Linked DNA regions of Diceros bicornis minor. The protein of the gene in region 3 purifies or fractionates together with the protein of the main gene of each other region. This does not show direct contact. Links are inferred from orthologs where the notes say so. Each region holds a gene or a part of one and is shown on either strand. Other genes may lie near its edges. The genes, in order: SRRM1, PNN, SRPK2 and YTHDC1.

Region 1 (7,655 bases), on a different chromosome or scaffold from region 3:
CCCTGCAGGAAGAGAAATACATTTTAATTAAGAGTTCAAAGTTAAATTCCTACTTTTTATCAGCTACTGATGGCTATGACCTTTACAGTCGAAATAGGGTAATCAAGTAAATAGAAACACCATAGCTAATATTCATAGGTACAGAATGTATACTCTCTTCCCAATGCAGCTGATATTTTGAAAACTGTATTTAAAAATTACAAAATACATGCTCATTGTAACAAGTCAAACAATATAGCAGCATACAACATAATGCTAACACCTCCCCCACAACCAAGTTTGATGTGCATCTTTCTATACCTTTTTCTAGGCTAATGGAGATTTAAGGCTGTTTGGTTTAAATGAGAACACACTGGGGCCAGCACAGCCGTTGAAGTTCACCCATTCCACTTCAGCGGCCCTGGGTTTACTGGTTCGGATCCTGGGCGTGGACCCCCGCACTGCTTATCAGGCCATGCTAAGGTGGGGTCCCATATAGAAGAGCTACAACTCTACACTATAGTACACAACTGTGCATTGGGGCTTTGGGGAGAAAAGGGAAAAAAGAGGAAGACTGGCAACAGATGTTAGCGCAGGGCCAATCTTCCTCAATAAAAATTGCTTAAAAAAATAAACGAGAACATGTTGTAATATTTACTACGCTTAACATATGCCTTCAAACAAGACCGTTAAGTTTCATCCTCTTCTGAAAGCCAGTAGCATGTTTGCAAAATTATTGTGGCAATGCATATAAGGGGAAAAAGGAAAAAACTCCCTAGGCCTGTGCTGTGTTTAGTTTTCCACAACTTTAAGAACTTGAAATGCATGAAAAATATAGGTTTACCTTCATAAAATCAATTTCAGCGAAAAATTTGGAAAAATAAGAACTTACAAATACTACATTAGACCATCAAGTGATCACTAGTCTACATTTTGTCATTCCTACTGGCCCAATTAAACCTGGAAATAACTAGCCATCTGATACAAAATCTACTGATTGGTTCACTGAGTTGGTCACTGTCCCTTGGAAAGTGATCAAGAAAATTTTGTTCGGGAAGGTAAAGGACCTGGATAAGAATCTCAACTCTGCCACTACTTAAGCCATATGACCTCAAAGCAAGTTACTTAACCTCTCTGAGGATGTTTCTTTAGTTGCAGGAGTGTGTATATCAGAAATGATACATGTAAAGTCACTGGCATGTGGCAGATTTCAACAAATGCAATCCATCACTTCTAATCTATCATTTCTATCTTAACCGAAAATGTCAGTTTACTACCCTGGCTGGCACTGTACTAAAAAGATAACTACCCTAAAATCTTTTACCTCGAAGCTTACATCCAGTCAACTCATCTAAGGAATTATAGGCGGTATATAAAAAACTGCATCCTTTTCTTTCAGACTTTTACCAACACCAAAAGCAAACTTCATTTTTAAATTTATCAACCACCTTGCTCTTTTTCTACCGGAACTCCTTTCCATGGGAAACAACCAAAAAAATCACAGGCTTTTGTTTCAAATTATTACATTCAGACCCCAGGAAATATTGAGTATTTACTACAAAATACTTTGATGGAAATTACAAAATGGAGTGTTCATCCGCAGTGTGATAATTTGATAAGCTCTCTCAACTGAAACTATCATTACATAAATAACTACAATACTGTTTGCATAACCTAAGAACCGTCAAATAACTGGCTGTTTTAAGTCAACTATGGGAATAACATTCCAACTTTTGATGAAAAACTAATTGGCACACTGAAAGCCAATTAAAGAGGAATTTCAACGCCAGCTTTGGAGTGTCAAGAGATATCTTAACCAAGTCCTGGTGTTCCCCTCTTCCACTTTTCCTTTAAACACACACGTACAAACTGCATAATATGCTCCGGGGAATGGAAAGAGACAACCCTACCCTACATAAAGCATACATTTTGACTTGGACCCACTGGTCTCTATGTGGTCCGTTGTGCTTTAAGAGAATCTGCAAAGTCTAGTCCTGTTAGTGCCACTTCGCACCCGTCCAGATCTCGACTGGGTGCTCATTTCCTAAAAGACGAGACAAACAGGCGCCAGCACGAGCCTGATACTCTGGCCCCTGAGGACCAACTACGCGCGGCGAGGTAACTTCCCCGCCTGCAGGTGATGGGCGAGCAGCCCGGCAGAACCTAGGTAAGAGGCACGTTTTCTCCAGCGGACTTCAAGAGTTTAAAAAAAAGAAAGAAAGAAGGGGGGGAGGGAGCGAGCGGGAAGGAGAGGAGGCGATCACCCTGTACCCTGCCTCCGCACACGCGCACACTTTTGTTGCGCCCTCTGCCCTCAGTCCCCGATTCAAACGTTCCAACTACGTATCATCTGAGTTCCCCTCCCCGCAGGGTATTAAATTGGGCGGGAGCTCTCGCGAACTCTGACCCCGCGCCTTCGCGAAGGCTCAGGACCAGGGGGAGGCCGGCGGGGGAGGGGGGTCGGGGCCCGCTTTCTCAAGAAAAGACGCCCGACGCTGTTTCCTGTGCTCTACCACGCTCTCCCGGGGCGGCACCCCCAAACCGTGCCCAGGGCCTCCCGCCGCCAGTCACCTCCGGGCTGCCCCGCGGCCTCCCCCCCGGACTTCCTCCTCGCGGCTCCGCTAGGCCCGGGACTCGGCGGCGCGCGCGGCTCGGCGTGCAGGCCCCGCCAGGCCGGCGGACGGCGAGGGGCCCCTCCGGCCCATTCCCGCCGCCATTTTCCGGCGACCGTCGCCGCCGCGTAGGGGGGACGATCCCGGAGGAGGAGACTGCGCAGGGGCGCACCGGTCTCGCCGCAGGGCAGGGGGGCGTCCGCGGGCGCCGAGGATCCTCAGGCTCTTCGAAGCCTCCCCTCGCTGCCCGCTCCGTCCCAAGTCTGAGCCTCCTGCCAGGCCTCGCCAGTAAGTGCCTCACCTCACCCCAGGTCCCCGCGCTTCTACTTACGCGGAAGAATCCCGCGTCCATCTTGCTGCCTCGCTCGGAGATCGCTCCCTGTCCCAGGGTGCACCGCGCCGCCGCGACGGAGGGCGGGACCGGCAGGGAAAGCCGAGCGCCGGGACGCAGCGCGCGCCGCTCCGCCCGCCCCTCCAGCCGACACGAGGCCGCGCCTGCTCAGTGTGGTGCGCGCCCGCCACGCGTGCGCACGCGCGCCCAGATGGCGGGCAGCTGCCGGGCTCCGAGGCTCCGCAGTAGCCAGTCCGGGAGGAGAGCCTCGCGACCGCAGCCAATGGGAGCAAGAGAGAGAGTCGTCGGGGCGCCCCGCCCTGCGAATCCTTTTGTGGCGCTGGACCAGCCCTGTTCGCGCAGCGTGACTTGAGCCCTCCTTCGACCCGTAGTGGAGGAGGCCTCCCGCCCTGGGGGTTCCGTGGAGCGATTGAGGAGAAAGGCTGTTACCTCAGAGTGACGCTGGGGAGGCGGCCGGTGCGCAGAAGAGAAGCCTGCGGCCTCCGCTGTCATTGCGAAAATTGTGATTGTGTTGGTTTTACGAGTTTACCGGTTATTACGATCGGCTCTAAAGTAGAGCGGTGCAGTCTCAGTGAAATCTGCGTTCCGGCCCAGTTTCCCCCCATCCCCACACAACTCGGTCGTGTTCGGGAGAAGCTGGAAATGCCCATTAGAAGAGTTTCGGTTTCGGCTGCCTGGCAACCGCGCTAACGGGCGGGAAGCCGATGAGCGGGCCCCCCGCAGGGCTCTGCGGGAGAAGCAGCGAGCCGCCCCGCGGCGTGGCCTCGGCCCCCTCAGCCCTGCCCTGTCGGGGGGCCTCCAGCGCGGGAGGATGGCGCCAGATTCCCGCCGAGCGCCTTCTTTCTCAGAGAAAGCCTGTGTCCCTTCCGTGGCCGTCTTTTGTCAAGTGCCCGCCCACACAAACACTCGTCCCCCGTTCCTGCCTTTTCTTCAGGACAGTCATCACACCTGAAACTACATTTGTTCTCTCTCGTGCCTTTAGATACCGACTCTGCTGACGACTGCCCTCTCTCTTCAGCTCGGACTTCTCGCCCCAACTTCAAACTCGTAGAGTGTGGATAGACACCCCAAACTTGACATGACCAGGAACTGAACTGGTTCCTCCCTACCCTGGTCTCACCGCCGCCCACCCCCGGATGCGACCTGCTCCTCCCGAAGCCTCCCCTGCCTCAGTTGATGGCGGTATCTTTCCTTTTGTTGAGGACACAAGCCTTGGTGTTACTCTTGACTCCTCTTTCTCTTACTTCTAAGCCATCGGGAAACCCACTGCTAGAACCCCGGTTCAAGGCACCGTCATCTTTTGTCTGAACTTCTGCGCTGGCCTCTTCGCCGTCTGCCTGCTTCTACCCTTGCCACTCAGCGTCTATCCTAAATGCAGCAGAGGGATCTTACTAGAAAACCTTAGACCTGTCGCTCCTAAGCTCAAAACCTTCTAATAGTCCCTCCTTGTTCTCAGAGCAAAAGCCAAAATCCTACCCGATGCCCCCACGTTTCTTCCTTGATCTCGTCTCCTAGTACCCTAACACTGCTCACTGCTTCAACTTCCTAGGCTTGCTCCTGCCTCAAGACTTTGGTGCTGCTGGTAACTTCTGCCTGGAATGCTCTACCCCGAGATATCTATTTGGCAAATTTCAAGTTTTTACTCAAATGTCACCTACTCCATGAGGCCTACCCTGACTGCCCTTTAGGAAATTGCTCACACACCCTTTCTATATCTCAGATGCCTCTTAATCTACCCTCTTTTTTTCTGTCGCATTTATCGCCAAATATTTGTTTATCTATTTTTTTTAAAGATTTTATTTATTTATTTTTCCCCCCAAAACCACAGTTGATAGTTGTATGTCATAGTTGCACATCTTCTAGTTGCTGTATGTGGGATGCGGCCTCAGCATGGCCAGAGAAGCGGTGCATCGGTGCGCACCCGGGATTGGAACCGGGCCGCCAGCAGCGGAGCGCGTGCTCTCAACCGCTAAGCCACAGGGCCAGCCCTGTTTATCTATTTTTAATGTTTGTTTATTATCTGTTCCCCACACTAGAATTTAAGCTCGCGAAAGTCAGGGCTTTCTGTCTTTTTTTGTTAACTGGTGTGTCCCTAACACCTAGAACAGTGTCTGGCCCATAGTGTAGGCTCAGTAAAATTTGCTGAATGAAAGCTTTGTCAGAGGTCAAAGTTAGGGGAAGTGGCTGGCTTCTATAGAACAACTATGAAATCACAGTGCCCCACATCTCACTGACTGTTCTCTATGATTCTGATCGGTTGTTCTGTTTTATACTTCCTTCACTGTCTCTGCTCTTTTGCTGCCAATTTTGTAAATGCTGGTTTTCCTTGAGGTTCTGTCATTGACCCTTGGTTTCAATTATCTTTTCATCTCCCAAACCTGTATATCTCAGGCACAAGTCTGCCCCAGACCTAATATTTTCAACTTCCTGCTGACATTCACTTGCATATCCTGAGCCTTCAGTGAGTCGTAACCTTTTTGCTGGTGGAGGGTCTTGCCTTGATGTTGCTGGCTGCTGACCCATCAGAGTGGTGGTTGCTGAAGATTGGGGCAGCTGCGGCAATTTCTTAAAATAAGGCAACAATGAAGTTTGCCACATCGACTGACTCATCCTTTCACAAATGATTTCTCTGTAGCACGCAATGCTGTTTGATAGCATTTTACCCATAGTGGAACATCTTTCAAAATTAGAATCAATCCTCTCAAACCCTGCTGCTGCTTTTTCAACTAAGTTTATATAATATTCTAAATCTTTTATTGTGATTTCAACAGTCTTCACAGCGTCTTCATCAGGAGAAGATCTCATCTCCAGAAATTACTTTCTTTGCTCATCCATGAGAAGCAACTCCTCATCCATTAAAGTTTTATCATGAGATTACAGCAATTCAGTCACATCTTCAGGCTCCACCTCTAATTCTAGTTCTCTTGCTGTTTCCACCACATCTGCAGTTAGTTCCTCCACTGAAGTCTTGAACCCCTCAAAGTCATCCATGAGGGTTGGAATCAACTTCTTCCAAACTCCTGGTAATATTGTTATTTTGACTTTTTCTCATGAATCACAGATGTTCTTAATGGCATCTAGAATGGTGAATCCTTTCCAGAAGGTTTTCAATTTACTTTGCTCAGATTCATCAGAGGAATCACTATCTATGGCAGCTAAAACCTTGTGAAATGTATTTCTTAAATAATAAGACTTGAAAGTTGAAATTACCCCTTGATCCATGGGCTGCAGAGTGGATGTTGTGTTAGCAGGTATGAAAACAACGTTAATCTCATTGTACATCTCCATCAGAGCTCTTGGGTGACCAGGTGCATTGTCAATGATCAGTAATATTTTGAAAGGAATCTTTTCTGAGCAATAGCTCTCAACATTAGGCTTAAAATATTCAGTAAACCGTGTTGAAAACAGATGTGCTGACATCCAGCCTTCATAGTTCCATTTATAGAGCACAGACAGAGTAGATTTAACATAATTCTTAAGGGCCCTAGGATTTTCAGAATGGTAAATGAACATTGACTTCAGCTTAAAGTCACCAGCTGCATTAGCCCCTAACAAGAGAGTCAGCCAGGGGCCGGCCCAGTGGTGTAGTGGTTAAGTTCGCACACTCCACTTTGGTGGCCTGGGGTTCACAGGTTTGGATCCCAGGTGTGGACCTATGCACTGCTCATCAAGCTATGCTGTGGCAGGGGTCCTACATAAAATAGGGGAAGATAGGCACAGATGTTAGCTCAGGACCTAGCTTCCTCAGCAAAAAGAGGAGGATTAACAACAGATGTTAGCTCAGGGCTAATCTTCCTCACCAAAAAAAAAAAAAAGAGAGAGAGAGAGAGAGTCAGCCTGTCTTTCGAAGCTTTGAAGCCAGGCATTGATTTTTCCTCTCTAGCTATGAAAGTCCTAGATGTCATCATCTTCGAATATAAGGCTATTTTGTCTACATTGAAAATCTATTGTTTAGTGTAGACATCTTCATTAATTATCTTAGCTAGATATTCCGGATAACTTACTGCAGTTTCTACGTCAGCACTTCCTGCTTCACCTTGCACTTTTATGTTATGGAGATGGCTTCTTTTCTTAAACCTCATGAACCAAGTTCTGCCAGCTTCAAACTTTTCTTCTGCAGCTTCCTCACCTCTCTCAGCCTTCATAGAATTGAAGAGAGTTAGGGCCTTGCTCTGGATTAGTCTTTGGCTTAAAGGAATGTTGTGGCTGGTGTGATCATCTATCCAGATCACTAAAACTTTCTCCATATCAACCATACGGCTGTTTTGCTTTCTTATCATTCATGTGTTCACTGGAGTAATTTCCTTCAAGAACTTTTCCTTTGCATTCACAACTTGGCTAACTGGCTCAAGAGGCCTAGCTTTTGGCCTGTCTCAGCTTTTGACACGCCTTACTCACTAATAATCATTTCTAGCTTTTGATTTAAAGTGAGAGATGTATGACTCTTCCTTTCACTTGAACACTTAGAGGCCATTGTTGGGTTATTAACTGGCCTAATTTCAATATTGTTGTGTCTCAGGGAATAGGGGGCCCTGAGGAGAGGGAGAGAGATGAGGGGACGGCTGGTTGGTGGAGCCATCAGAACACACACAACACATCAAGTTCGTCTTATATGGGCACAGTTCATGGCATCCCAAAACAATTACAATAGTAACGTCAAAGATTGCTGATCACAGATCACCATAACAAATATAGTGGTGCCTGAAAAACTA
Region 2 (7,847 bases), on a different chromosome or scaffold from region 3:
AATTGTGCCGTTCTGTGTAGTGTGACGAAATCTCACGCTGTTTAGCTCTGTCCAGCCCAGACCTGAATCATCACTTTCTCCAGCAGATCCACGCTGTATTCGCTACCTGCCCATTAGCCACTTAGTAGCCATCTAGGTTATCAGATCAGCAGGCGAGTATGTCAGTGCTTCTGTTCAAGTAACCCCTATTTTACCTAATAAAGGCCCCAAAGTGCAAGAGTAGTGATGCTGGCAATTCAGTTACGCCCAAGAGAAGCCAAAAAGCGCTTCCTTAAGTGAAAAGGTAAAAGTTCTGGACTTAATAAGGAAAGAAAAAAATCATATGCTGAGGTTGCTAAGATCTATGGTAATTTTTAATACAGTATATTGTTATAATTTTTCTATTTTATTACTTATTGTTGTTAATCTCTTACTGTGCCTAATTTATAAATTAAACTTTATCATAGGTATGTATGAATAGGAAAAAACATAATACATATAGGGTTCTGTACTATCTGTGGTTTCAGACCTCCACTGGGGGTCTTAGAACGTATCCCCTCAGGAAAGTGAGGCAAAACTGTATTTAAATACACCACTCTTTCATACCTCTATGCCTTTACCTTTGCCTAGGATGCTTTTCCTATTCTCACTTTCCACTCCTCTTTATCAATAGCATTATAGAAAGGGCTTCTGATTTGAGCGTGACTTTGGAATATCTCATTTATAAAATCTGTTAAAACTCCATGATTCTATAGCTAATTATACCCAATATGTTAATTATTCATTGAACCCCTATTCCCCAACAACTGTGAGGCAGAGGTTTTATCTTATTCATCTAGCACAGTGTCAGGGCCACAATACACACCTAATAAATATTTTCTGAATAAATCAAAGAGTGAACGAGGACTCCCACATTTTAGAAGTAACCTCCACGAGGATGGGGCCATTGTTTCGTTCTTTAATATATCCCCAACACCCAGAACTAGCTCTGACATATAACGGGCACTAAATAAAAGGTTTTTTTTGAATTAATTAAACTTGTGTTTCCTAATTACAGTAACGCCTGCAAACTTTCTTTTGCTATGACCTCAAATCTCACTAGCCTTCTGTCTTCGAGCTGCGTGGAGGGATATCACTGTTATGGATGAGGAGAGAGCGACAGGATTCTCAGGCTGGGACCTGTCTGTCCAGCGCACGGCCCGGAAGTGCGGGAAGTGACAGCAGAAGTAAAATCAGTGACAGCCAAAATCGGCTGTGCAGTTAACCCTGCCGTAAATCACGGCAGGGGCAACAAACACTAAAAGTAAGACCAATCTGTGGCCTGCAGGACACAGACTGGGAATGGACAAAAAAGCATCAAACAGGAGAAGACGCGAAAGGGAAGAGGATGCAAGACTGAAGACAGCTGACGGGCTCTCGGGCTTAGGATACCCGGAGGCGGACCGATGTGTCTACACCTCGGGAGAGGCTGGGTGGCGACGGGACAGGGGTTGAGGGAAAGAACTGGGGAAACGAGGAGTGTCACGCAGAAGGACCGCAAGCGCGTGTGGCAGCACTCACCACCTCCCCCTGCTCCGCAGACTTGTACACTCCAGACACCATCTCGCTATGCAGAAGCAAAAACAACGCCTCATCCGCCATCGCCTGCTTATTCTTCCGAGCTCCGGTTCCGGCTCCCGTTGGGCCGGCTCGGGGTTCCGGCTGGCGCCCGAGCGAGCTGGACCGGGCCGCTCCCTCAGTCCGCAGCCCGTCCCTCGTTGCTAGGAGACACAGGAACTCACTCGGCTTCCGGACGGCTGGTACCGGCGGGAACCCGGTACCGGGGCGGCCCACCCCCGGGCCACTGAGCCCTCGGGCCCAACAAGAGAGACTGACAGCGGCAGGCATCCAACCCGGCCCGCGGAGACCCGACCCGGCCGCGGGGCGGGGACGAAGGAACAACTTCCGGTCCCCTCTACCCCGGCATTCCGCCAGCTCTATGGTCACAGAGTTCCTCCTCGGGGTGAATGCCGGCGCCCAGACAGCCGGGAGGGTCCTCCCGCGTAGGATGTCGGAAGTCGGGTGGGTAAAGTAAAACAAAAGGAACTCCCACTGCCGTCTCTGTTAATTAGCTCTGAGTTGGAACTGACGTGAATTTCTATTAGCTTCACCAAAAACTTCCACTTCTGCCATATGTTCCTCAATAAGAAAAGTTGTAAAAAGTGAATAAATCATCATTTTTCAGGCTATACATTTTATATATATTGAGAAATTAGCCCAATCCACTGTGGATTAAGCCTGCCTATGCAACAAGATTTAGAGCCATGTTGGCCGCCAGAAAGTTTACTGGAAGCGGGGTGTAAGGAACAAGGAGGATGGAATAAGCAAAGAACAAGATATATTTGAACCAGAAATTAGAAATTATCAGAGGATTGGGTGAACAGAAAAGTGCTAAACACTTCAGAAAAGTGACGTCACAGTGGGACGGAGTTCATAAGAATCTATGCCGGATATGGTACTAACTCCTACAGAGGAGCAAACACATATGTTAGCTCATATGCATCTCTTCAATTTGGCAATCTCTGGCTTAAACGTGTTGCTTAGCCTGTGATGAGTTCTTTTCTTAGTAATCCACAAGGCAGATTTTTTTCCAATTAATTCATTGCTTCCCCCAAATTAACATATTGAGTTTCCTCAAATTGTTAACAATAACCTCTCAACTCTTCATACCCTTTCACAGAAATTTAAGATCATGTTCCATAATTGGAATTATGGCAGCTTTTTTTTTTTTTCTTACGTTTGGATGTAACGTTCTAATGTTTGGATCAGTTTATTTGATCATCACATAAATCAAGCATAAAAGTTCCACTTAAGCCTTTGAAAACGCTGAATAGTATAGCTTTGAAAAGTATTTTGCAACCATAATCTTAATTTTTCCAGCACTAAAATTTCCCATATGCGAAATCAGGTCTTTTATGTCCTGATTGCATTCTCCGTTCATCACCACCGTCAAGGAACAGAAGTCCAAGCCCACCAGCGAGGTCAAAGAATAAGGAATTGACCAAGTTACTAAGGTTGATTTCTCAAAGTACAGTAACGTCGAGTTCTTATAATATTTTGGAGAATAGAGGGGAAACTAATATTTATTCAGCACCTACTAAATGTTGAACACAGCATCCCACTGATTCTCCCCTATAAAGCAGACTGTGTTAAATTGCCCAGGATCCTACTAACAGATCCTATGGAAGTAGGAATAGATCCCATGTTTTTGGTTAACTCTAAAAGCATTTTCCCTTGGAAACATGGATACACTCGGTGGTTAGGATCCACCATCACCACATTCTCGTGCTTTGTGTACTGCTTACTACACGGGGTTGTAATAAGGATCAATGAGACTATGTATGCTCACAACCAGAATTAGATAATTGTCAACCCTCATCCCTCTTACCCAGCTTTACTTTTTCTTTTTTCTATAGCACTTCTTGATTTCTAACATGCAATGTCATTTACTTAAGTTTGTCGTCCGTCTCCACACTCTTCTGCCACGAAGCTCCTTGAGGGCAGAGATCTTTATTGTACATTGATGTATCCAAGTGCCTAGGACAATGCCTGGCACATAGCAGACGCTCAATAAATATTTGTTGAATGAATGAATGAGTATATGAATGATCTTTGCTCCCTGAGGGGCCTACAAACCCCACGGAAGCAGGACCACAGCTATCTTGTTCTAGGCTTTTATCCTTAGAGCCTAGCTTAGTGCCTCTACACAGCAGGAGTTTCTAAAGATGGGTGGATGAATTAAAAGGGTAACTGTAACTCCAGTTAAATACAGTTGGCTCGCTAATGCTTGGTGCAAGGAGGATGCTTAGCTGACAGATGGAGGATGAGAACCCGAAGATTATACATAATATTGCTTCTGCGCGGAAATGCTTTCTGGGCTATAATTTGCAAATATATTTCTGGAACAAAACCGGTTCTCACGTTGGCAGCGCAGCTACAGCGGAACCAGAAGCTGGATGACACTCTCACACACACACATCTAACAACAGTGCCTCTCCCCCAGGCCCCATCTTAAACCAACCAGCTCTAGGCCAAGTGTAGAGGTGTAGGGACTAAGGCCTGTCTCGTCTGTCTCACCATCGCTTTTTTCTTCTAGCACATCCTTGCACAGCGTCTGATTGGACGGTGATTATCGGCTGGCGCGACCTCGCTACAGTTACAGTGTCTCCAGACTCAATGTCCTTATCGGTTATAACAGGCATGTGATTCAAGCTTTTGGTTTGTGAGGGATAAGGCATGTAAAGCGTTTCACACAAAAAACAAAATAACTGTCAGGTATTACGATTAATGACTTTTCCTGTACCTCCATTCTCTGCTTCCCTCTGCTCATCCTGGTTTCACCTAATCGAGGGAAGCCTGCGCCCCGCAACCCCTCTCTGGGCATGCGCACCAACAGAATGGCCGCACCCTGTCCTAATGAAATCATTTACCCGGGAAGAGGGGTAAACAGGCTCCATCCCACCCTGATGTAATCAGAAGGTTAAAAAGGATTTAAGGCACGTCATATCACAGGCTACAAGGGCCAGAAAACTCCGAGCGCCCCGCCAGAAGAGCAAGCCCTGGAGCCCACGTCTCCCACAACCCAGGGACTCTCAGGCCCGCCCCAGCCCTGCGCTGGACGCGGAGCGCAGCCACCCGCAGCTCGCTGGGGAGGGAGGTGACCACCTGGCCGACTTTTCATTGGCCCAGAGTCACGAAGGCCGGCAGGTTCTCCCTCTTCCGGTCGCTGAGTGGTTGAGGCCGAAAAACAACGCTTGTTGTCATTGGCTGAGGCCAGCTGTCAATCCGCTCGCGTCTCGCGGCGCGACCCGGCCAGGCGCGGCCTGTGGAGCAGTCTCGAAGCCTGCTGCGGGGAGAAGATGGCGGTCGCAGTGAGAACTTTGCAGGAGCAGCTGGAAAAGGCCAAAGAGAGCCTAAAGAACGTGGACGAGAATATTCGCAAGCTCACCGGGCGGGATCCGAATGATGTGAGGTAAGGGGCGGACGGACAATGCCGGCTCCGAGGGGTAGCCAACAGGCCGGGGTGAACCGGGAGGGCGGCCAGCCTGAGACGGCTGGAGCGTCGAGGCCTGGGCCGGGGCGGCGGTGGAACCCGGCCTCGGGGAGGGGGCGTCCTAAGGCCCCCGCCGTGGGTCCCCCGGCTCAGCTGTGTGAGGAAGGAGCGCGGGGCCGGGTCGCGCCGGGATGACTTCCCGGCCTGTGCGGAGCCCGGACCGCCGGTTCCCGCCCTCGGCCTGCAGGCCCGGAACTGCAGCACAAAGCCCCTGCCCCCCCTGGCCTCGGCCGCCCCGAGCCCTCCCGGGACGCGGCCCGCCGTCTCGCCGCGGCCTCCTGCCCCACGTGCACCTTCCTTGGGGTTGGCGACATTAGGACCTCGTTAATATGCGGTAGCATCGAGGTGAATGTAATTTCTGATAGTGATCTGGGAAAAACAAGGAAGTTAAATAAGATGGTACTTCCTGCCCTGTTTCAAACACGTGGATTCGAAACCGTCTTTTTAGAACTTTTCTGGTTATTTTCTCTTTATGATGAACCGCACCCGTGGAAGTGTTTGGTGCCGTTAGATGTGTGCACATGTGGTTTTTGTACTGATTTGTGAATCTCTTGTAGGCCCATCCAAGCCAGATTGCTGGCCCTTTCTGGTCCTGGTGGAGGTAGAGGACGTGGTAGTTTATTGCTGAGGTAAGGTTTCCTTAGGACTTAATTCGTATGCTAAGACTTGGTGCTTACTATACTAAGCTAACGTATTGGTTTAAACAAAACTCGTGTTAGAAACGTTTGTGTTTGTTTTGTTTAAAGCTGTGATCAGGTGTAGCTTTCTGTATAGTTATCCTGGAATTTCATTTATATGCAAAACTAGAGATTGAAGAATATCTTAATCGTGCTAGTTTTCTGTAAACTTAATTTAATTTTGTAGCTTTTAAAAAAATGCTATAAAAGTATCTTGGAGTGAATGCCCATTTAAAGTTGTTTTAATTAGAAGCATTTTTAAAAGTTTAACTGAATTCTCCTGCTGAATGGAAATATCATTTATCTTAAATTTCAACTGCTTTATGTTGGACTTCTTGAACTGCAGGCGTGGATTCTCAGATAGTGGAGGAGGACCCCCAGCCAAGCAGAGAGACCTTGAAGGGGCAGTCAGTAGGTATGTTGGAGGAAAAGATTCTGAAGGTATACTTGTGTGCTCTGTGTTCTGAGGTAGCATACAAATATAAATATTGTTGAATTGAGCTGTGTTAGAATTGAGTAGTATACCATTTCCTGAGTCTGTTCCCTTGGTATTTGACTGGACTGAGAAAGCCAGTATTCCTCAGAACTCAATTTTTCACTAAACGGTAACAGAAATTTTACCAAAATAAAGGTCATGAGAAGAATAAAGATTGAGAAAATAGTCAATCTGTGCCACTTTTCTGTCTGGTACTATAAAAATTTAACCAGCTTGAGAAATATATTGTAGGAGATCAGTTCGGATTTAGCATTGATGATAACATTTTATCCTTTCACTACCAGAGGAAGGAGTAAAATGGGATTGGAGATGGATAGAATGAGGCTTCTAGAAGTGAGTCCTAGAAAGAGTAGTCATTTGTCCTTGGCATGCACTTAAGTCAAATTCTACAATGGTGGTTTAAATTCTTTTTCCTATATCAGGCTGGGCGGGGAGCGTCGGACTCGGAGAGAATCACGCCAAGAAAGCGACCCAGAGGACGATGATGTTAAGAAGGTAGTTGAGATTAAAAGAACTTCTTTGAGGATGAATATAGTTTTTCACTTTACTACGTTTAAAAGAGTGTCACCCGTGCACTAGTAAAATTACTGAGATTTCTTTTCTCCTGCAGCCGGCTTTGCAGTCTTCAGTTGTAGCTACCTCCAAAGAGCGCACACGTAGAGACCTTATCCAGGATCAAAATATGGACGAAAAGGGAAAGCAAAGGTATCTTCAGTATCCTTCTGGGGGAAAGAACTGTCAAATAGTGCAATTTTAAGAAAATTCGAGGCATTGTTCAAGTGCCTGTAGTATGTTTCTTTTAGGAAATGGCAGGCTTACATGAAGTGGAACATTGAAATTGAATTTTCTTTTTTCTGTTGTTTAGGAACCGACGAATATTTGGCTTGTTGATGGGCACACTTCAGAAATTTAAACAAGAATCCACTGTTGCTACTGAAAGGGTATTTATGCAGCTTTTCCTTTTCTTTTATTTGTTACCAAAGTAGTTGATTACATGTTTTTAAAAAGAGCTGAAGAGCTCTTATAAGACTTCATTGCCCAAAATGAAGCCAAGGAAAAACTTATAAAACTTTCTGGAGTTGTGTTGTTAACCGGTCTTTTTTTGAGGTGCTGTGAAGTAACTGAGTGAACTTCTCTTTGTAGTGCAAAGAGCCCTGGTCTCTGAGTCAGGAGAACCTGGATTCTGTTCTGAGCTCTGTTACGATCTCATTTCCTGGTCTTGGACAAGTCGCTTTGTTTCTTTAGGCCTGAGAGTGCTTTCTCTCATATAGGAGAGTTGACTTCAATCATTGTAACTAGTTCAGTAATTCTAATTTTTAAGACTTATTTACACACTCAGAGGCAGTACTTAGCACTCTAGAAGCAAAAGCATAAACATTCCCCGACCTCTACAGTTTATTTAACTGTGTCATCTTTCCAGAAGTTTTTATTTTACTGAAGCTACAAGATTGTGTCCTCGGAGTTGAACACCAAATTATTACTTCTCAGGGGAGAACTACAGTAGAAAGGAAGATAACAATTTAGTTATAGGGGATTAATAAAATTTTATTTCAGCTTTTGTGTGTTAACTTTACTAGAGAATTGAAAAGGCTTAAAAGCATTT
Region 3 (7,941 bases):
TGTCACAAGGGATAAACACACATAAAACAGTCAACACAGTGACTGGCACAGTGTTCAAATGTCATCTGTCACTATTACTTAAGGCGCCCCATCTTAATGTTCTCCCTATCCCTTAGCGCTATCTGAAGCTGTCATCTTTACTTCTCATCCTTTTTGGGGTCCCCCCAGCCCCCCAGAACGTAAGCTTCATGAGGAGCTCTGTCTGCCTTGTTCAAAGCTCTGTCAGTCTCCTAGGAAAGGCATGCAAAAAGCCTGTGGAATATATGAATAAATATATCACATCAGGCATCCCTTTAAAATAATGTCTTGATTCAAAAAATTAAGTGAAAAATGACATTGCCTCAATCAAACAGTTATGTAATTGGGCTGGTCTCCCCTTACTAATTACCTTGCTGACCAACCAGGTCATTCAGTCCTTGGTTGGGGGGGTTTCCCTCCAATCTTATTACATAAATACAACAAACAATGGAAGAAACTGATAGATTAATCCGTGAGGCAAACGTTAATGTGGCTATATGCTAATTCTTTATAAACATACCACATACATGCAAACTGCGACACAACAAAAAAGGCTCTTGGCCATTAGGAAAGTCATACCTTGAAATATGAAACACACACTGACCTACTCAACTAAAACTGTTTTTCTACATGTATGCATATATATACATAATATACACACATATAGATTTTATATATATATGTGTATACACACACACATACACACAGCCATCCCCAAAACTGGGGACATGCTTTTTTCACCTCCTTTTTATGTTTCTGAACATAATGGGCTATGCGGAAATAAATGCTTTGAAATGAAAGTTGTGATTAAAACCCAATACTCCGGATCCTAAACATTACAGTTCTCCCCACTTATAGGCTAAACTTCTGTCATTCACCAAAGGAAATCCCAAATTTAAGGTTCTGATTGACTTGAGAGCTAGCACTAATTTTTTAAGGCATCTAAAACTACCAAATATCCATTCTGTTTTAACGTCTTAAGAATCCAATATCCAATTTTTACCCACCAGTTCCTCAAGTCCTTAATAAGTACTTTTCCCTCACTCTAATAGTTTCTTTCTTAAGAAAGGCATCATTATGTCGATATCCACGTTTTGTGAAATCCTAAAAATACTTTCAAGTTATATTCCGTTTTGAATGAACAAAAATCCTGTCATGCTATACCACCACGTTAGCAATGACTTAGGCAGTTTGCACAGATGCTACCAACGGGTATGAAATTCGCTAGGCAGAGATCAAGGCGAACAGGAAGGGAAAAAGCCTAGGAATGCTGCAGGGTAGTCCTCTAAAGGAAACAAGAAATGCTTCGGGATTTTATTTAAAGATGATCATGGACTATCATTCCCCAAAGTACCAAAAATACCTTGCCTGTATTTCTTGCTCAAAAGGAAAAGCGAAGCCACACATCTAGAAGGAGTAAAGATGTTGAACGCTGGCGGATTTTCTTAAATTAGGAATGAAAGAAGGAAAAGGAGAGAGGCCGCGGCGCTGCGGTCTCGGAGCAGTTCTCCAGGAAAGGCTTCTCGGGCGCCGGCCGCTCCCCCTCCGGTCCGCAGCCATGCTGGAGGTGGCTGGCGACTGGCACGTTTTAAATATCACCACCCCATCCATCAACTCCCCAGCACAATGCGGGCTGGGAAGCCGCGCGGGGCCGCCCGCGCACACGCCCACCGGCCCCACCAGCCCGCAACCCGGCGCGGCCGCCGCGCAGCCAAGTCACGCTCGGCCCGAGCAGAAAGTTTCGAATAAAAACCCGAGCGCCGACACGCACGGGTCTCGGAGCTGAACTCGCGCCAGGAACACGCCCGAGGCAAACCACTTGACAACCAGCTCGGGTTTTCGGCAGAAAGGCCGAGAGGCGGGGGCCGGGGAGGAAGAGGAGGCGACACACACACACACTCACACTCTCTTACGTACGCGGCTCCTCTTCCTCTGGGGCCCGCGCGCCCAGGTGGGAGCCACGCAGCAGCCTCGCGCCCGCACACGGCGCGCCGGGCGCCAGCGCCCCTCCTGGGAAGGTGCCGACCCCGGGCCGGCTCGGCGCGCCGGGGAGGGTGCGCACGCCCGGCGCCTCCCCGCCCGCCCGCCCGCCCTCGACGGCCGCAGCGGCGACTGGGGGCCGGGGGCCGGGGATGCTCGGCGGGCCGGCCGCGGGCTCGCGCGCCCCTCCCCCGCCCGCCGCCCGCGGGGCGCGCAGGAGGCGAGCGCCGGCGTCCCGGGGGACCGGCCCGCCTCCGGCCCTGGGAGCGGGGCAACTTTCCCCGGCGCGACCGCGGGCTGCGCCCGACCGGCGGGGCCGGGGGCCCGGGGGCGAGCGCAGCGTGGACTCACTTTTTCGGATGTTTCTCTCTTTTCGGCCTCCGCTTTCGGGCCTGAATGGCCAGCACTGGGGAAAGAGAAGACACACATTAACGGTCGGGCCGGCCGGCCGGCCCGCGGGGCCGCGTGGCGGGCAGGAGCGAACGCCGCGGGCCACTCACCTTTCCGGGAGCTCATCCCGACGCGGCGGAGGGCGGGCGGGGGGCTTCGCGGCGGCGGCGGCGGCGGCGGCGGCGACGCGGTGCCGAGCCGAGCCGGACTGCAGCCTCCACTCGCTCCGCCGGCCGGGAGGAGGCGGGAACCGCGCCTGCGCCGCCGCCGCCGCCGCTCCCGCGGGGGGCCCGGCAAGACCCGCCTCCGCCCGGCCCCGCCCCCGCCCCGCCCCCACCCGCCCGGTGAGCTTGGGACCCCAGCGCCGGGCCCCTCCCGTGTGTCCCGCACCCGCCCGCCGGGCCCACCTGTGCGAAGCGACCCCCCGCGACCACCGCCAGTCCCGTCCCCGACCTCCCCCTCCCCAGCCCGCGGCAGGCCTCCGCCTCCAGCGCCCCCGCGGCGGGCCCAGGCCTCCCGCCTCTCCCGGGCACCCGGCCCGCGCGACCCTCCCTCGCAGCCGCGGCCTCTCCCCTACGCACTCCGGCCAGTCGCGCCGCCCGTCTCTCCATGCGCCCTTCCTTGGCCCGCGCCTCCGCGGGTCTCACACCACCTCTCTTCGCGCGGCCTTTTCTCCCCCTTTGCTCCCCTACATCCTTGCATCCCCATGAGCGCCGCTCCTCCTCTCCGGCGGGTGTGGAAAGGGCACAGGACCAAGAACTGGGAAACCTGGGTCCTTTCACTAGCTATGTGACCTTGGAGAAGTCATCTTATCTCACACGTTTACCTACCCCGCAGGACTGCTTGAGTTTAATGAAGGAAAAGATGCAAATAGCGTGGAAAGAAGGATGAAGCTTTCGCACGTGAATTAAAGCCCAGTTCAATGAATACCACGTGTATAACAATTTAACACACCACCACAACCACCAAGTAGTTATTTTCTCCATCTTACAATGAAGAAACTGAGTCCTAGAGAGGTTAAGCAGTTTACCCAGCAATGACTGAAATCTAGGCCTAACTCAGTCCAAACTCTCCACGTATCATGCTTCCTAATTAAGATGTGAATCAACTTGATAGTGGGACAAAATGATAACTGCAGTGTTCCTTTGTTTATTTAAATACTGATAATATTTTTGAAAGATATTCATCCTGACCATTTACTCTCTCTTTGGCTATACAACTCTATTCTTAACTGATCAAAGTAGCTAGTCTTATTCTAAAGATGCTAAACCCAACAGAACAGAAGGCGCTGCTTGGAATTAAAGAGCTTTTTACTTTCTCAACTTTTTATTTTCAAAAACATCAAACCTACAGAAAAGCTATGAGAAAAACATAATGAACACCCATATTAACCCATATTCACCAGTTTTTAACATTTCGCTGCATTTGCTTTCCCTGTGTTGGGGGGGGAGAGTTGTTTTTGCTGAATCATGAGTTTTTTGCAGATAGTGTTACCCTTTACCCCTAAATATTTCAGTAAGTATCTCCTGAGACAAAGATAGTCTCCTACTTAATCAGATACTGTTATCATTCCAAGGAATTTTATTAATATAATACTATTATCTGTAACATACAGAGGTCATGTTCAAATTTTCAAAATATCCCTTTTAGCTGACTTTTTCTCCAACCCAAGATACAATCAAGGACCATGCATTGCATTTAGTTGTCACATCTTTTTAAGCTCCTTTCGTATAGAATAATGCCCGGTTTTGTTTTTTCTTATAACATTGACTTTTTTGAAGAATCCAGTTCTACTGTTTTGCAGAATGTTCCTCAGTTTGTATTCATCTGTTCCCCCTTAGATTGAAGTTACATAATTTTCTCAGGTACACTATCATAGATGATGTTGTGTTGGTCTTAGTAAATTGCATCAGGAGGGCTTTGATGTCTGTTTGTTCCATTATTGGTGATGTTGCATTTAATCATTTCTCCATGGTAAAAGTACCTTTTTTTCTTTGTATTTAAAAAGTAATCTGTGTAAAAAATGGGCAAAGGACATCAACTGATGAATGGATAAAGATGTGGTGTATATATACGATGGAATACTACTCAGCCATAAAAATGACACAATCATGGGGCCAGCCCAGTGGCATAGTGGTTAAGTTTGCACACTCCGCTTCGGCAACCTGGGGTTAGCAGGTTCAGATCCTGGGCACAGACTTATGCACCACTCATCAAGCCATGCTGTGGCAGCATCTCATATACGAAATAGAGGAAGATTGGCACAGATCTTAGCTCGGGGCTAATCTTCCTCAGCAAAAAGAGGAACATCAGCAACAGATGTTAGCTCAGGGCCGATCTTCCTCACCAAAAAAAAAAAAGACGCCATCATCACATTTGCAACAACATGGATGGACCTTGAGGGTATTATGTTAAGCAAAATAAGCCAGACGGAGAAAGACAAACACCACATGATTTCAGTCATATGTGGAAGATAAAGTAACACATGGACAAAGAAGGCAAATCAGTGCTTACCAGAGGGGAAGGGAGATGGGGGGTGGGTGAAAGGGGTAAAGGGGCGCATACGTATGGTGAAAGATAAAAATTAGAGTATTGGTAGTGAGCACAATGCAGTCTATACAGAAACTGATAAATGATAATGTACACTTGAAATTACACAATGTTATAAACCATTATGACCGCAATAAAATAATTAAAAAAAAAAAGTTTGTCATGTCTGTAGCTGTTACACTGTGAACAGCACAGAACCTCGAGGAACATTCTTCCAGTGTTGGAAAACTATCATCCAATTCAGCCAACAAGGTCACTCGATATCCTTGGCGGATGAGTTAAGATTCAACATGTGCTTCACTCTTGTCCTTTCATCTCACTCTTGAGTGTAAATGAAAACATCAACCAACATTTATGTCGGAACTATACTCAAGAGTCGGTGACATGAAGGACTTCTTGTGGAATCAGATAGTAATCAAGCATTTGTTCATGGTCTGATTTTCTCAAATCCTGGATGAATTGTAACCACAGGTTGGCTACAGATGTAACGGTTGGCAAAAATCAAAGAAAGCATTCTAGGGGGCTGGCCCAGTGGCATAGTGGTTATGTTCACTGCTCTCTGCTTTGTCGGCCGGGTTCACGGGTTCAGATCCTGGGCTTAGACCTACACCTCTCACCAAGCCATTGCTGTCGTGGCAATCCACATACAAAATAGAGAAAGATGGGCACAGGTGTTAGCTCAGGCCACTCTTCCTCAAGCAAAAAGAGGAAGGTTGGCAACAGGTGTTGCCTGTTAGCTCGGGGCCAATCTTCCTCGACAAAAGGAAAAAAAAACATTCTAGAGAACAATTGGTGCTGTAGAATTTACAATAAAAAGGATTGTATATTTTAGTATGATTTGTAAATTGTGTGCTATTTTACGGTTTTATACAGATAAAATGTATAATATACTTATGTACGTAAAAAAAAAAAAATGGGCAAAGGACTTGAATAGACATTTCTCCAAAGAAGAGAAACAAAGATGCTCATCATCACTGGAGAAATGCAAAGCAACATCACAATGAGATACCACTTCACACCTACTAGGATGACTACAATTTTTTTTAATGGAAACTAAGTGATGGCAAGGATGTAGAGACATTGGAATCCTCGTACATTGCTGGTGAGAATGTAAAAGGATGCAATCACTGTGGAAAACAGTTCCACAGTTCTGCAAAAAGCTAAATATAGGATTATTAGCAATTCTACTCTTAAGTATATATTCAGAAGAATTGAAAACAGGTACTCAAACAAATCCTTGTGTGCAACCGTTCATAGCAGCACTGATCACAGTAGCCAAAAGGTTAGAAACAACCCAAATATCCATCAACACATGAATGGATAAATTGTGGTATAGACATACAATGAAATATTTTTCAGCCATAAAAAGGACTAAAGAACTGATACATGCTACAACGTGGATGAACCTCAAAAACAGTCTGCCGAGTGAAAGAAGCTAGACACAAAAGGTCATATATTGTACCACTCCATTTACATGAAACATCAGGAACAAGCAAATCTGCAGAAAGCAGATTGGTGGTAGCCAGTGGCTTGGGGGAGGGGAAACGCGGAGCAACTGCATCATGGGTCCGGGGTTTTATTTTGTACTGAGAAAATGTTTTGGAGCTAGATAGAGGTGGTGGTGGCACAACATTGTAAATGTAGTAAATGCCACTGAATTGTTCATTCTAAAATGATTAACTTTATGTTATGTGAATTTCACCATGATTTTGTTTTATGGTTCTGTGGGGTAATATTTTGAGACCATGTGAGTATCCTTCCCCAAGAATCTTCACTCTATGGGTTAGCACCCATTGATGATGCTTGCCTGAATCAATTGTTACTATAGTGGTTGTAGAATAATAATATTATAATCCTAACATTCCATCTGTTCCATCTATGTTAATTAGGTGACATTCTTATGTAAAGAAGAGCTTTCATTTCTCCTGCCACCCCTTTGTTCTCTGTTTGTTTTTGGCTTGTTTTTTGTTTTTATTTTTGGTTTCAATATTGACAGTAATTACTGTCACTTTGATTTTTGATTCTTGAATTGCCCCATACTTGACCAGGGAAGACACTTTCAACTTTTAGTGTCCTTCGGACACATCCCAATCAGTTTTTGAGCACCTCTTCACTTTCTGGCACAAGATGTTCCAGGAAACTTTGTGCTTTCCCTAACTGGGTCTCAGAACCAGCCATTTTGCTGGTCTTGACTCCTTCTAGAAGGTGATTAAAAGCTTTGAAGCCAAAGAAATCCGATTTTAAAACCAGTTTCTTTTATTATTTTTAATAGCTTTACTGAGATATAATTCACATACCATACAATCAACACATTTAAAGTACAAAAGGCAATGTTTTTTAGGATTGTTGTGCAACCACCACAACAATCTAATTTTAAAACATTTTGTCACCCATAAAAGAACCTCCATAACCATTAGCAGTCACTCCCCATTTCCCCCAACCTCCCCTTGCTCAAGGCCTAGGCAACCACTAATCTCCTGTCTCTATAGCCCTGCCTATTCTGGACAGATCATATAAATGCAATCATATACTATGTGGCCTTTTGTGACTGGCTTCTTTCACTTAGCTTAATGTTGAAACCCATTTCTGCCTCTTAATTTCTGCATAACCTTGGGCAAGTTACTTAATTACAACATCTGGGAAACGGTAATAATATTAATACCAATCCTGCTAGATCAATGTGATAATCAAATAAGGAAAGTAAATATTCAATAAATGGTAATTACCATTAACATTAGTTGGGAAATCACACCCCATCTCTTTGCGTCCATTTGTTCAACAAATATTTCTCAAACACCTGCTATGCAGCTGGCATTATTCAAGGTATTGAGTCTACAGCAGTGAACAAAGCACACAAGACTCTCCCTGCCCTCGTGGGACATTCTACTGCCAGAAGACAGAAAATAAACAAAGTAAATATGTGAAATATATATTATATTTACTGGATGGCAATAGTGTCTATGACAAGAAGAATCAAAACAAAACAGCAACCTGTTGGGAACG
Region 4 (6,887 bases), on a different chromosome or scaffold from region 3:
GCTAACGATTTACAACCTTGTAATCATTTATTCAAGGAACTGAGACACAATAACTGTACACAAGAAACCTGATGAACAAGACAGACATACTCCTGACCCTCATGAAGCTTCCAGTCTAGTAATGTAGAAAACATGTTACTTTTGAAAGTGGTAACTTATTATCCACATTTTGGATATATTAAACTTTGATTAACTTTTTTGAAGAGAACTTTATAAGAGCTTAAGAAATAAAATTTATACAAAGTGTTTATAATAAAAAAGATGTGTATTTCTGCATATAGAAAAATGGCATTTAACATTAGTTAACACCATCAACATTCTAATGTCTTTCAAATCCACTTTTTGGACAAATAATCAACACAGGAATCAAAGGAAGCTGGCAATCTGTCCAGTTATAACAGGCTTCAGCTTCCAGGTATTAGTATTACAGAAGCATTATAGAAGTTAATGCCTGTTTATTACACAGCTAACGCACAAAACCCAATAATCCAAGGACTCAATGACCAAGTCTTTTAACTGTTCTGTGATTAATAGCAAATTCTTGCCATTTAAACTCATTTCTGATCAAGATCTTACATTATTTATGTAATCATTTAAAAACGGACCTCAAGTTTGTGACATGTCTAAGATTCTTACAAGGTTTATCTTTGCCATTTCCTAATGTTTCATACAAGATAACTGATGACACTAAGTACTTAGTTTCCCACTTTTCCTTGTTCAAGTATGAGAAGGAAGAGTCAAGTACTGATTTTAATTCTGGCTATCATTCTAGCTGTGTGACTCAGTTTCCTTATTTGCAAAGTGGATTATTCTAGAAATCCTGCTACTCAAAAATTAAACAAGCAATTCCAGTAAGTTTGTATTTGCTAGCTTTCGCAGTAAACTAAGAGACAATCTTCGATCTAAACTATAAAGATAAGCACTTATATCAGAAGTTCTAAAATAGAGAAGTTCAATTATGGAAATTAAGTTTTTCAAAAACTACACAAATCAAGGCCTTTCAAAAGCCGGACAATTTATCCTAAGTACTGCTAATAGGTAGCGTTACTACTTCCCAATAATAAAGTTTAAGTATTTGGATTACATTTTCATCACTATATCCACTTCTTTGACAAAATTTCTACACCACCACCTACTTTTCTTCCTCAATGTACATTATGGAGTCTAGTCTATTACTGACTTAAAATTACTATGTTCATCTTAACAGACAACGAATTCTTGAGGAGTGCTGAGTTTTACTCATTTTATATTTGGTTCATCTCACCCACCATAACTGCCACCCATTCCCATACACACAGCTCATAAATAACAGTGACAGAATCAAGCATTGACTGAATTCTTATTGATTAAAATCATCTATTTTAATAACTAACTTTACTACTAATTAAAAGCAGTTTCTTTTATTCACTAACACCATGCAATCCTATGTTCACATTCCTTTCAGACTTCTCAAAAAAAGGGCAGAAGGGGTTTCTAGGATTCGTCTAAGGAAGTAAAATTAAGCTACCATAACCTAATCATTGAACTGCTTTAAGATAGGAGCAATATCTTAAACATATTCCCACCCACTCCACTTCCCAAGCTTGTCCCTATCCTACAGCAGTTTATTGAAGCATGAAGACTTCTTTCTTTTAAGGAGAAAAGATCACAGGCCTAATGCAACTTGATTCTAGAGCTCATTTAATAAATTCCCACCCCAAATTTACTAGCCACACAGAAGAGTAGATCTGTGAAATAAAGAGCAGCAGCTGTGCCATATTTTTTTTAACTATAATCTTTCGGTAATCTTAGGGTTGGAAAAGACCTTAAGGCACCATCTAATACAGACCACCCTCTAGACAGGTACTGATCCAGGATCTCCATCTCCAGAGCCTGGGAGATCGGTATTTCACAAAACATGACACTCCTTTCTGGCAACATCAGTTCTTTCTATATTCCACTGTAATTCTATCCCTCCAACTCTCTATAAATTACATCCATTTGCTCCTGGTTGTACTCTCCGGGAGTTAAGCACAATGTGTTTCTATCAGAATAGCGGCCAGGATTTTTTTTGCCAGGCCTAAATCATATAATTACCCTTCCAAACATCTTGTTTTCTAAAATAAGTGTTTGAGGAGCCAAACGGGCAATTCATGCCACTTTACCTATTTTACAGGAACAGCCACAAGTTACTAATAGATATTTCTCGAGATTAATAATCCACCTATAGCACTTCTTAAATATGCTCACTTACTATACTACCAGCTCTGATCGTGACATTCAGGGTTTTCGAAATTTCGCCTACCAGAAAAGGTTGTTCTGAAGATATGCATTACATCCGCATAATCTTACCAGCAAATAAACCTAAGGGCCTGCAACTCAGAACAGGCCTTGTCCCAGCCGCGCCCAGAACAGCTAAACGGAAAAAGAAGAGGGGAATTAGGATCAAAGAAAAACCATAGGCCAGATAAGTGTTAGGTCATAGGGAGATCGAGGACGTAAGGGCAGGCCTGATCTTTTCCAATGAGTGCAAGCGTCTCGGTCGGGGGGACCCGCTCCGCGCGGAGCAGGCTAACCCCCCCAACCCCCACGCGGCAACGACGACCACGGCTCCGTCGACCCACTCCCGAGCCCCGCCTCCGCCCGTCACCTTCCTCCGCACTAACCTTTCTCCTCCCGGCTGTCGGCCGCCATTGCTCCCCTCCTGTTTCCGCTGCTGCCGCTGCCGCTTCGACGCGAATCGCGCCGGCGCCGCAGCCGCGGCAGCAGTAGCTCGGAGGCGTCCGTCAGTCCGTCCGCCGGGCTGCGCGCTTCGCTCCTGGGCCTCTACCACTCACCCTTCTCGACTCACCCTTTTTCTCCCCGCTTCTTTCCCTTCTCCCTTTTCCCCTTCCCTCCTTTCGCTCCAATCTCCCGCGGCCTAGGCCAAGCCTTCCCGTTGGGGCTAGGGGACCGGAGCGGGTAGGCGGAGGGAAGGGAAACAGATGGCGACAGCGGGCGGCGCTAAAATGGAGCCTGCTTCCTGCGCGAAACAATCCCGCTCCCGAAATGCCCTGCGCTGTTTACGCTTCGTTCCTCCCTGGGAACGTCACAGTGCGGAGAGAGGCGGGGAAGCAGGGCGAGCAAGGGAACGTGACGTAACGTCAGCACGTCGCCCCGCCCCCCGCAGCCCGGATGTCCGTGGAAAGAGTCTCATTGCCAGTGATTAAGCGGCCGGAGTTATTTAAATCGAGCCGCTGCTGTGCTGTGTACGCCTAGGTGGCGCAGTTTTCTCGACTGAACCGGGTATTCGCGTACTTTTCAGCCTAAGAGCGAAGATGCTTCGTGTCGCTCCGCGCTACTCCTGATTCCCTTCTGGAAATCGGAGATTTATTTAGGACAAGTATGGGCCTTTGCCTTTGCAGTCGGCAGGGATGGCAGTTGTACTTTCACAGTTGGTGTCCCGGGCTTCAAAGGCAGCACAGGATGCAACTAGCTCACTTGTCACAAAAGCATACTAGTTTTGTTTTTAATTGGGGAAAGGAATTATATTGTATTTTAATATAACTTTGTAATTCACATAATAGCAAATTTGATTTAAACATTTATTGAGGCCCTGGGGTACTCAGTTGATTAAAGAGACTATTGAGAAATTGAAAGTACAGAAGTGACCAAAAACTACTTAACTAATAATATGGTGAAAGGTACATAAAGTTTATTATCCAAAAGAATAAAGATGTAATTTTGCTTCACTACTCCATGACTGAGTTTACAAGGGAAAGAAAATTTGAAAAAAAAGTAACATTGTTATGTAAAAACAAACCAATGGCATGTTCAGAGAAAGAAAAATAATCTAGAGTTTCTTGGTCCTTGATGGCCTTTATAACAAATTGAGACCAAACTAAAGGCAGTGGGAAGATTTTAAGCAGTGGAAAAACACTAAAAGAGATTTGTTTGGAGCTGTTGGAGGCTTGCAGGGAAAAAAGAGAAGGAAAAACAAGTAAACATAACACCCAGCTATGTGTTAGATGCTTAGGAATCAAGGGTGAATAGAATAGTATTTCTGTCTTTAAAGAATGTTCAATATAATATAGGGAAGAGACAATAGGAAATTAATGTTGAGAAATAAATGAAAAGCAATAAGAAAAGTATATATAGAGACAGACAGACAGACAGAGTATATAAGGAAGCCACTTGGTTTAAAACTAGTTTGGCCTGACCTTGTTTTTCCAGGAAGGCGTGTCATAGCCTGTGAAGCATGCATTGTACATCTGCTTTAAACATTTACAAAGCAAAGAATGATGCATTTAAAGATAAGGATGTATGCCTCCCCCCATATCAGCGTTTTTTTTAGAGATAAGCACTTTGTCCCAGAAACTAAGGGTCAAACTGACCTACTGTGTACATCTTGTGACCTGCTGTGTTTATCTTGTTACCACTGACCTGCTGTGCTAGCAAAACAGCTTGTGACTGTAGTAAAAGAGATTCCTGTCATATTTGATATATGTTCTTTGTTTCAAGATGGTATATAACCATGCTGTACACTTCACTTCTTTGGAGTACTTCCTTCCTTGGTGAAGGCGCCTTCCAGGGCTATGTGGTTCTCACACGGGCTCATATGATAAACTCACCCCAAGTTGTTTTATAGATTTATTATGGATTGTTTGTATTGATGTCGTGTAAGAATAATGGTTAAAATTGTGTGTTCTTACTGTGTGTGCCAGGTACTGTTCTGAGCACTTGAAGTATACGATCTGATTTCCTCTTCCAAAAATGCAATTAGATTACTAGCTCTATTTTACATAAATGGAAAGTGAAGTAATGTGAAATTAAAGTGCCCAAAGTCACAAGTAGTAGTAAGAAACATGGCTCAAATCCAGGCAATTTGGCTCTAGCCCCCACCCACTTGATATTACTGCATCATGTAGCATACTCTCAGGATATTGGAATCCTTAGAGGCATGTCACTCAGAGTGATGGGGGGTAACAAGGGGGGTTCCCTTTCTGAAGAAGGGAAAATAAAGCCTAGTTGAGAACTAAACAAATATTAGCCTAGGTGAGAGGGAGAAAGGGCAAGGGTAATGTTAGAAGGATAGTTTTCACGTAAGCAAAGGTCCTAGGTGGCAAAGCTGCCCATAGTTCAATTCAAGTCGATATTCAGTGGTTAGGTAAGAAGAGACTGAATCAAGAAAAGCATTATAATGTAATGTTCTACTCATTTATTAGTTCAGTCAACTAGTATTTATTAAATTCCTATTCAGTCCTATATTGTTATAGATTCCAGAGTTAATATACATATATAGTATAGGATCTGGTTTCTCTCTTCAAGGAGTTCAGGTTTATGTTCTAGTTAGGGCGACAGGGCATAAGTAAACAATTACATGTGATGAATTCTAGGAAAGAAACAAATAAAAGGCTAATATGATGAGGCAGAAGGACTTTTTATGTAGAAAAACCGGTAAAGCCCTCTCTGAAGAGGTGAAGTTGAGACTGATACCTATAAAAGGTGGAGGTAAGAGTCTTCCAGGCAGAGAACAGCACGTAACAAAGGTTCTGAGGGAGAAAGAGGCTTTAGTGTGGTCAAGGATCTAAGGAGAATGCCAATGAGCTGGACCCCAGACAATGAGAGGGCAAGTAGCTGAGATAATGTTTGAGGGACAGGACACACCTTAGGAGTAAGGGCCTAATCAGGACCCAGCCTGAAACAAAAGCAGTACAAGCTTTGCAGAGAGAATCTCCAGGTTGAGCCCACTGGAGAGTGGGAATGGAAAATGTCTTGGGCTTTCCACAGATGGGCACCCATAAAGTGTAAAACCAAGCTCACACAAGTTCAAGATGATCAGCACCTCTCAGAGGAAGAGAACAAAATAGAGTCTGTGAAACATATTTTTCACAATATTCAGTTTTAAATCAGGCCAGGACCAGGTCATATAGCATAGGTTGCAGACTGGTGCCTGCTGACCTAAGACTTTCCGTGAACCAGTACAGTGTATGCTTTTATTGAAGTTTAATGCTTTTAATCAGGGCACACAACTTCCAGTGAGGCTTGGCCTCCACCATGCCTCTAAATTGCCTTACTCCTGGCCAATATTACTGATTGGAGTGTATATCTCTCAAGTGTGTGGATTCAGGAAAAAAAATTGGCAGGGCCGGCCCAATGGTCTAGTGGTTAAGTTTGCGTGCTCCACTTCAGCGGCCCAGGGTTCCTGCATTTGGATCCCCGGTGCAGACCTACATACTGCTCATCAAGCCATTCTGTGGTGGTGTTCCATACACAAAATAGAGGAAGATTGGCACAGGTGTTAACTCAGGGACAATCTTCCTCAAGCAAAAAGAGGAAAATTGGCAACAGATGTTAGGTCAGGGCCTATCTTCCTCATCAAAGAAAAAAAAAATTGGTAGTTGAGTTCTGTTGCCCTGGGAAGATTATGTAGAGTGAAGAGTAAAGGAGACTCAGTCCAGAGTCTTAGAGAATATCAATATAGGGAAAGCAAATGTATAATATGAACCTAGAACATCTTGTCATACCAGACAGCAGTGATCAATGAATGCTAAGGTCCTGTCAAAATGACTCAGAAGAGTTCCTAACTAAAATGGCTCCCACTGGCCAAATATGGACATTTTAAGCACTGTAAAGATAAAACTGCGTTGGCTTGAAACATATCAAGTATGTTTAAATCCATGAATTCATAATAGTTCAAAAAAATTCATCAGTCCTCTTTGGATGATGCTAGGGAACCAGTTCATTATTTTGAAAACTAGCAAACAAAGAGAAATCATTCATCCTGTGTTTGCAATTAGAACTGTATCTCAGGGTTACCAAGCAAGTAGTTGATGAAGGGAAGTTTCTCTTCATAGAATTATTCCAGGTAATATATGGCTAGGGTGAAGCAATGACAGAACTAGGACATCACCATTTTACAACCATTA

What was found.
Region 1: the proteins of SRPK2 (region 3) and SRRM1 purify together in Homo sapiens (affinity purification with mass spectrometry; 3 studies listed by BioGRID and IntAct, with this or other methods). This does not show direct contact. The link is inferred for Diceros bicornis minor from reciprocal best matches to the Homo sapiens genes SRPK2 and SRRM1.
Region 2: the proteins of SRPK2 (region 3) and PNN purify together in Homo sapiens (affinity purification with mass spectrometry; 3 studies listed by BioGRID and IntAct, with this or other methods). This does not show direct contact. The link is inferred for Diceros bicornis minor from reciprocal best matches to the Homo sapiens genes SRPK2 and PNN.
Region 4: the proteins of SRPK2 (region 3) and YTHDC1 purify together in Homo sapiens (affinity purification with mass spectrometry; 4 studies listed by BioGRID and IntAct, with this or other methods). This does not show direct contact. The link is inferred for Diceros bicornis minor from reciprocal best matches to the Homo sapiens genes SRPK2 and YTHDC1.

The regions. Positions count from the first base shown.
Region 1 is NC_080752.1:40,888,722-40,896,376, reverse strand, and holds the start of SRRM1 (serine/arginine repetitive matrix protein 1), read right to left. Parts: upstream 3,010-7,655; 5' UTR 2,944-3,009; coding exon 2,923-2,943; intron 2,606-2,922; exon of another isoform or gene 2,551-2,605; intron 3-2,550; coding exon 1-2. UniProt on the Homo sapiens protein: Part of pre- and post-splicing multiprotein mRNP complexes. As a component of the minor spliceosome, involved in the splicing of U12-type introns in pre-mRNAs. Involved in numerous pre-mRNA processing events.
Region 2 is NC_080744.1:10,963,156-10,971,002, reverse strand, and holds the start of PNN (pinin), read left to right. Parts: upstream 1-4,832; 5' UTR 4,833-4,877; coding exon 4,878-4,990; intron 4,991-5,628; coding exon 5,629-5,700; intron 5,701-6,094; coding exon 6,095-6,163; intron 6,164-6,666; coding exon 6,667-6,739; intron 6,740-6,854; coding exon 6,855-6,949; intron 6,950-7,109; coding exon 7,110-7,185; intron 7,186-7,847. Other genes in the region: TRAPPC6B (trafficking protein particle complex subunit 6B), read right to left, coding at 1,540-1,866. UniProt on the Homo sapiens protein: Transcriptional activator binding to the E-box 1 core sequence of the E-cadherin promoter gene; the core-binding sequence is 5'CAGGTG-3'. Capable of reversing CTBP1-mediated transcription repression.
Region 3 is NC_080742.1:12,839,337-12,847,277, reverse strand, and holds the start of SRPK2 (SRSF protein kinase 2), read right to left. Parts: upstream 3,000-7,941; coding exon 2,970-2,999; intron 2,562-2,969; exon of another isoform or gene 2,515-2,561; coding exon of another isoform or gene 2,499-2,514; intron 2,405-2,498; coding exon 2,350-2,404; intron 1-2,349. UniProt on the Homo sapiens protein: Serine/arginine-rich protein-specific kinase which specifically phosphorylates its substrates at serine residues located in regions rich in arginine/serine dipeptides, known as RS domains and is involved in the phosphorylation of SR splicing factors and the regulation of splicing.
Region 4 is NC_080747.1:54,209,681-54,216,567, reverse strand, and holds the start of YTHDC1 (YTH domain-containing protein 1), read right to left. Parts: upstream 3,015-6,887; 5' UTR 2,674-3,014; coding exon 2,646-2,673; intron 2,395-2,645; coding exon 2,332-2,394; intron 1-2,331. UniProt on the Homo sapiens protein: Regulator of alternative splicing that specifically recognizes and binds N6-methyladenosine (m6A)-containing RNAs.